2 linked regions of the Canis lupus familiaris genome follow. The protein of the gene in region 1 interacts with the protein of each later gene in a pairwise test. Links are inferred from orthologs where the notes say so. Each region holds a gene or a part of one and is shown in the gene's direction. Other genes may lie near its edges.

The links.
Region 2: the proteins of SRRM4 (region 1) and ZRSR2 interact in binary tests that used the Homo sapiens proteins (3 or more experiments, as listed by UniProt). The link is inferred for Canis lupus familiaris from reciprocal best matches to the Homo sapiens genes SRRM4 and ZRSR2.

What each region holds. Positions count from the first base shown.
Region 1 is NC_049247.1:15,661,796-15,665,609, forward strand, and holds part of SRRM4 (serine/arginine repetitive matrix protein 4), read left to right. Parts: intron 1-225; coding exon 226-429; intron 430-1,169; coding exon 1,170-1,280; intron 1,281-1,871; coding exon 1,872-2,012; intron 2,013-3,656; coding exon 3,657-3,814. UniProt on the Homo sapiens protein: Splicing factor specifically required for neural cell differentiation.
Region 2 is NC_049260.1:12,099,575-12,103,388, forward strand, and holds part of ZRSR2 (U2 small nuclear ribonucleoprotein auxiliary factor 35 kDa subunit-related protein 2), read left to right. Parts: intron 1-1,877; coding exon 1,878-1,916; intron 1,917-2,541; coding exon 2,542-2,660; intron 2,661-3,814. UniProt on the Homo sapiens protein: Pre-mRNA-binding protein required for splicing of both U2- and U12-type introns. Selectively interacts with the 3'-splice site of U2- and U12-type pre-mRNAs and promotes different steps in U2 and U12 intron splicing.

The sequences.
Region 1 (3,814 bases):
CCTAAAATCCTCTGAAGTGCCCTTGTGGAATGTGTTCCCCTCTGTTCCTATTCCTCTAACATCTGTGCTCTGGAAAGTCTTTCCAGAGGCAGTAAGATGGGAATAGGTGGAAAGGGGTTTCTGAGAGTACCACAGCCTAGGCAAAGGTAGGCAGAGGAGTATCAGCAGATGCCTCCAGATCGGCAGGCAAGCCAGTGCTGACAGGAGTTCTCCCCACATCTGCAGAGGATTTCAGTCGCCATGCCTGGAATGTGCAGAGGTGAAGAAGTCTGGTTTGGTCCCATCCACAGCCCGGAGCTCCCCTATGAGAGGTTGCTCCCGCAGCCCTTCTTATGCCAGCACCCGCTCTTCCAGCCACTCCTCCCGATCCCCAAACCCCAGAGTCTCCCCCAGGTACACCCGAAGCCGATCCACCTCCTCTGGAAAAAGGTGAGTGCAGTTTTGGCCTCTGATCTGCAGAGCTTTCCTCCTTAGGGAGCTAGTTATGGTAACTGGAAATGTCCTTTGGCCCTGGTGGGGGGCGGGGGGGGAGGTCAGACAGATGAGTTTGAATGCCCACTGTACCCATTCCTAGCTGGTGGCTCAGATAACCTCTCTGAGCCTCAGTTTCCTTATCTGCAAAATGAAAACATTCACCTCTCAGTGTCTTTGTTTCCCAATCTGTGGAATGAGATTGATAATAGTACCTCGCCCTACAATGTGTTGAGGATTCAATGAGATAATGCACACAAAGCATTAATTCAATGAAATACCTAACAGCCTAACAGTCATAGCTAACCTTTCCTGTGTGCTGCCTATGTGAGGTATGTAAGTGATTTACTCATTGAATTTACAACTGTATAGGGAAAGTATGATTATTTATCCCCATTTTATAGATGAGAAAACAGAGGCTCAGAGAGGTGAGATCACCTGTCCAAAGTCACATAACTAGTAAGTGGCCTTAGATGGTAAGAACTCAGTAAGGAGGAGTTACCAATATTATTATTAGTCGCCCAAAAGAGAGGGAATTTCATTCTCAGGAAAGGGCCAGATTCCTGGGTCTGGCGTCCAGAAAGTCAAAGTCGCCCTCGGGGGACCAGCCGCATACAACCCTACCCCTGCGGGACGACCCCGGCACGGCCCCGGCGAAGCCCAGCAGGCCCTCGGGGACTGTTTACCGTGTCCCGCAGGTCCTACTCGCGCTCTTCCAGCTACTCCTCCAAGTCTGGCAAGAGGAGCCCGCCGAGCAGAAGCTCGCGATCGCGCCGCAGCCCCAGCTACTCGCGGTACAGCCCCGGCAGGTACAGCCCCGCCCCCAAGCCCGGGCTCCGCCTTCGCGGCCCCTCCCCCCGGCCTCTGCGCAGCGTCACCCAAGCCCCGCCCCAGCTCCCCCTTTGTCCAGCCTTGAGGGAGTAGGGATGGGGAGACCACCCAGCATCCTCGTAGTTTCTTTGGTCTCGGCTGGAGTGGAGACGTGTAACATATCCTGGGGTTCTAACGGCCCCCCTGGAAAGTACAGCCAGCCACACCCCAGAATTCGCATCCCCGGCCCTCAGCCTCTTCACGCACCTAATATTACCCTTGATCCCCGTTATTCAGAGCCGCAGTTGTTACGCATGCACCAGGGCCCTCTGGACCGCCACATCCTAACCCCGCAGCACCTAGGCCCCTGTAACGCCCACCCTCGAAGGCCGACACCCGCGCCCACGCCTGGTCTCCCCACAATACTGAACCAGAGCCCTGTCCTACTCCCCACCGCGTTCCCTGGGGCCCCGGGAGGAACCCAGCACCTGCTGCAATGAGGTGCGGGGCGCAGGGAAGAGGAAGTGAGTGCCCCTGGCTCATGCGGAAAAGCCAGCCCCGGCTCCCCAGTGACCCCCGCACCCCTTCAGGGAGCGGGACCCCAAGTACAATGAGAAGGACTCGCAGCAGCGGGAGCGCGAGCGAGCACGTCGGAGACGGCGGTCCTACTCGCCCATGCGCAAGCGCCGGAGAGACTCCCCGAGCCACCTGGAGGCGCGGAGGATAACCAGGTGAGGCCAGGAGGGCCGGGGTGCCCACCTTCACCCTCACTCCCACCCCTCCCACCCGTCGGGGCCTCGGGATCTCCCCTGCACCCCGTGGAGCTGGATTTCAGGATTGTGGGAGCTCAGGCAATTTGCGAGGCCTGACAGGAGAGGTCAGGGCCTCGGGGCGGGGCTAGGATGGGTGCCCCGGGACAGGGGTGGGGACAGCCTGAGGAGGGGGTGTGGCCGGGGTCTGCGGAGAGGGCTGCGAGGTCGCATCCCGGGCGAAGGGGGCAAAGCAGCGGGACCGGTCTTTTCCTGGGGGTGGAGCCGGCCAGCGAAGACGGATCACGGTCAGACCACATGCCAGGCTTTAATAGGCCCTGATCATAGCTGGCACCAAGTGTGGAGAGGGCAAGAAGGATCTTTAGGTGCCAAAGGAATTTAGAGGGAGCCTCGGTGGGCCAGGGGGAGAGCACTGGATCTGGAGTGGAACCCGGCTGTGCCACTTTCCTGGTAAGCTGGAGAAGTCTCTTCACCTCCCAGATTCTCAGTTCTCATCCATGAATATTTCCTTCAGGAGTGTGTATCATGAAGATGAAAAAAAAGGGGGGGCAAAGAGATGGGAACACACTTTGTAAACTGAAATGCAAAACACTAGAACCCTCGCTGTGTCATTGTTACAGATTGAATGGTCAGATTAGGTGGATCAGGTTGCCTCTAACAGTTAAGGTCTTAGATAAGAAAAGCCCTACAAAAAAAACCTGAGGTCTGAATGGACACATAGTTTTAGGCCTTGAAAGCAGGAAGAATGGCTGAGTGCTGTCCTGAAATTGGCTCCGGACAATCAGCTCCTCCTGGCCCTCCAAGGGTCAGCCATTCCATCCAGGGACTCACAGGAATGGAGCTTCGATGTCCTGGCTGCCCTGGGCCTCCTCCCTAGAGATGACCTGGAGGAGGGAAAAGCACTTGTGACTCCAAACAATAAGAATGGGGGCAATGGCATCACCTTCTCGGATATCCCATAGAACAGCACGGCACACACGAAGGGAGTCCTACTCCCACAGCATGGACCACAGGTGCCATTGGGGTGGACTTAGAAGAAGGCTGAGATAAACTGGCATTTCTAAAAGGCTCTCGTCTCCTGAGTCAACCTCAGATAATCCATCCTGATGAGCCATTCAGTGTTTCCCAAACTTTAGGCATCCAGCGGCATCCGAGCACTTTGCACTTACCTGTTTAGTAAGCTACTGTTGTTGACCTTTCTTTACACAGATATGTTCTTTCTTAGAGGTCCATACATTTAATGCAAAAGGAATGCACCACAGTATACCATAGCAAATGGAAGATCAGCCTCTCTTACCATAAATAGAAGGTTCCAGTAAAAGTAAAAAGAGATAAACAAAACGTGCAATTAAAGTCTAGATGTAGATTCGGTTGCCAGCTGGAGACTCCCAGCCTCAGGCTTGCTTGGCTCTCAAGTGAGAGCTGTCACTTCTCGAGACACCAGCACTAGATGGTCTCAGGACAGCAGGAGGAGCGCGCAAAAGGGTGTTTTCCCCAAGAGCCTGGGATGGAGGAAGGAGTCCGCTTCCCCTGGGGACGGCGGGCGCGCTCGGGGGGAGGCTGGGCGGTCTGGTCCGTCCAGCGCGCTCCCTCTGGTCTCCGCAGTGCCCGGAAACGCCCCATCCCCTACTACCGGCCCAGCCCCTCATCATCCAGCAGCCTCAGCAGCACCTCCTCCTGGTACAGCAGCAGCAGCAGCCGCTCTGCCAGCCGCAGCTACACCCGGAGCCGCAGCCGGAGCCGCAGCCGCAGCCGCAGCCGCA
Region 2 (3,814 bases), on another chromosome or scaffold:
TAGGGGGCAGGGAAATTGTTGGGAGCTTGTCATTTTTTTATAGAGTAATTGATTCCCCCCGCCCCTTTTTTTTAAAGATGCTATTTGTTTATTCATGAGAGACACACACAGAGAGGCAGAAACATAGAGGGAGAAACAGACTCACTGCAGGGAGCCCGATGTGGGACTTGATCCCAGAACTTTGGGATCATGCCTTGAGCCAGAGGCAGACATTCAATCGCTGAGCCACCCAGGTGTCCCTCGATTCCCATTTTAACAGAGTGTTCTCAATTGAGGCCTTTGTGGCATCAGATTAAAGTTAAGCCTTATAAAAAAGCACAGGCTTTTCTTTCAAAGGAAGACAAGTGAGACCTTATGGAGAGGCAGGTAAGATAAAGTAGGTTCTAAGCATGTATAAAGGGATATGCAGTCATGTTTCTACTGTGTGCTAGATACTTCTCTAGTAGATAGAGATAAAGCAGTGAAAAATACAGTCCCTGCTCTCCTTGAGTTTTTGAGATGGGGAGCCAGATGAGTAAGCAAAAAAGATAATTTTAAGTGCTATAAAGAAATAAACAGAGTCATGTGATAGTGGGGTAGGGATGTGTACTTCTTTAAATTGCCTGGTCATGGAAGACTTGTCCAAGGAGCTGAGGTTTGAGCTGACACCTGAGTGCAAAAATGTTGGGGAAAGGGGTTCAGGCAGAGGGAAGAGGCCTGAGCATGGAGCTGAAAAGATGTCAGGATGCCTGAATCTTGGAGACCAAAGGAGAGAGTGGTGGGTGGTGAGGGAAGGGGTCAGGAAGGTAGGCAGGGTCAGATCATGTAAGGCCTCCTAGACTGGAAGGAGGAGTTTGCATTTTATATTGTCATGGGAAGCCATTAGCAGGGTTTTTAAGCAGGGTTTGACTTCACTTAATTCATGTCTATACCCTTAACAGATCATTCTAACTTTTGTATAAAGACAGGTCAGGGGGTGGAGAACAGGAGCGGTGACCAAGGAGACAAGAATGGAAATAGAGTGACCAGTTAGAAGACTGCTGTTCCAGATAGGACATGATGGTGGTTTGGATGAGGGCAGTGCTTAGTTAGGATAAGTTTACAGATGTGAGGTGTATGGTTGAACAGACAGGGAGGGGAAGGAAAAGGAGAGGAATTCCAGTTCTTCTTTTTAGGTTGTTAGTCCAAACAAGGGGGCAAACGGCAATGTCCTTTATGGAGATGTGGGGTGTTCAGGTGATTGGGGGTGGAGAAGAACCAGAGTTGCCTGGTGAGCATGTTAAGTTAACCAGGGGTCCTGGTAGCGTTCTCAAGTACGCAGCGAGGCAGAGGAGTCTTTTATGTAATGCTTTAAGGGGCTAGGGAAGAGAAGTCTGTCAAGAATAATTTAAAACTTGTTTAAATGACAGCTCAAAATTTACTGGCACATTGTAAGACTTCCTTTGCCTTACCGAAAAGTTTGATCTTTTTCATCAACCCGAGTTACTGCTGTTCATGTCATACTTTAATATCTGTTACGTGTTGATGATGTTTGATCTAAGCATTGCATTTTATAATAATTCTCTGATACTATATCAGTCATTTTAAAAGCTAGAATGTGGTATATATGAGCAAATATGCTAAGTATTACTGTTAACTGAAACAATTTAAGACTGTTTTGCAATGGGAGCTAATAAATGTCCTATTTGAATAAACAGTCTCAGCTATATGTCCTTTGAAAGCTTTTCAGAAGATCTGTGCTGTAGAAAGCAAATTAGAACCTGAAACCTTTGATGTGTGTGGGGTTTTGTTTTTGTTTTTATGTTTTTAATTGTTACAGAGATTCTTAACCAGAGAAACCAGACGTGACATTCCTGACTTGCAGGTTTTCATTAGTCCTATGTTTGCACCATTTGTAGGAAGCTGTGCAGAAGATGCTGGAGCAGGCTGAAAATGAGGTATTTTCAAATCTTTCATTCAGAATTAGAGATCAGTGAACATTTCTTTAAAAACGGTTCTTCCAGTATAATGTTAATTTTGTGGTAAGCTATTTAGGTCACATCTGAGTATCAGAATCACTTTTGTAGCTCTGCGATTTTTACAGCAGCAACAACAGCAGCAAAAGTTTTTTGATGAGCAAAAGCAAATGGTATCAAGTCACCTCTCTGGACTGTATTATTTATAGTCCTTACAGTGTGTGTGAGCAGCATCACACACTGTTGCCCTGAAATAAATGGTTTGACTTGCTACAGAGCAACTTTGGTCTCTCTCAGGGGTGGTTCCCTGACAAGTCCTTTGACCTCATTCAGAATGGCTGGGCAGAAGGGAGACCTCGGTGACAGTTCCTGGTAGCCACAGTGACTGACGCCTGATGATGGGCGATGACTGGGAGCCAGGAAAGACACGGTGCATGTCTCCGGGCAATTGTTCGTGAAGTTTGGATTGCCTGTTATGACCTAAATGTATATATTCTTATTCTTAAATCTATTTTTTATTTTTGGCCAAAATATTTGCATACATTTTAAACATGGAGTTCTTCATGGATTTTTACACCACCAATAAAGTCACGGTTATTTTCAACAGTTGGAAAATGGTGCCACATGGCAAAACCCAGAACCACCCATCGACTTAAGGATAATGGAGAAAGATCGAGCTAATTGTCCATTCTACAGTAAAACAGGAGCATGCAGATTTGGAGATAGGTAACTAATTTTGCTTTATCGGGTCAGAATTCAGTGGATCACAATGTCGAGGTTGTTCTCTTTGGGGGTGCAGCACGGGCTTGAGTTTGAGAGGTTCCCAGTCAGGTATCTGCTGCTTTCTTGCTGCTTCTCCAGTCACATTGCTCCTCCTGTACATGTTCCCTGGGTAGGCTCAGCCTAGTTCTCTGATAGGGCTTCCTTTGCATTCCTCTACAGCTTCATGAAGACCTTGTCCTTTTTGTTTTCTTCCTGTGCTTGCATGAGTCCACGTGGGACAATTTGGATGGAGAAAGAACATATTTCAAGAGACCGGAGCAGCTTGGCTTTATTTATTTTTATTTACTTATTTTTGAGTGGCCAACACCATGCACAGAAGAGACTTAAAAAAATTGGCATGCCCAAGGCTATCTGTGAAAGACAGGACCCGAGTGAATGAGGAAAAGTTTTCTCATTCCCCATTCTCAGTCTGTTTGCTTGGACTCAGGAACAGAGCCTGGGTGCAAAAACTGACTTAAGCAGCTGTCAGTTGGGGAGAGTTACTTAAGCCTTCTGAGCCTTAGTTTCCTCATCTGTAAAATGGGGATGAAAAATAGTCTCTCCTTTTGGAGGAGTTTGTGAGGCTGCAAGGAGTGAATGCAGGGCAAACCCAGACACCGTGCCAGGCATATGGCAAACACTGTCCCGAGTGTTGGCTGGTATTTTCATTTTGTTGTGGTTGTCCTTATTCTCTGAGACACTCGGCTGCCTGCCTCTTTTGGCTCCGTGTTTTTGAAACAAGCCATTCACATGGAGAACTAAGTGTCGGTTCATTCATTTAGCAAATATTTATTTATTTATTTATTTATTTATTTATTTATTTATTTATTTATTTAAAGATTTTATTTATTTATTCATGATAGTCACACAGAGAGAGAGAGAGAGAGAGGCAGAGAACACAGGCAGAGGGAGAAGCAGGCTCCATGCACCGGGAGCCCGACATGGGACTCGATCCCGGGTCTCCAGGATCGCGCCCCGGGCCAAAGGCAGGCGCCAAACCGCTGCGCCACCCAGGGATCCCTTTAGCAAATATTTAAATCCTTACTATGTGCCAGGCATTGGTGATGTTTATCATTTGGCTTATTAATGAATGAACAACTCAAAAAAAATGAACAACT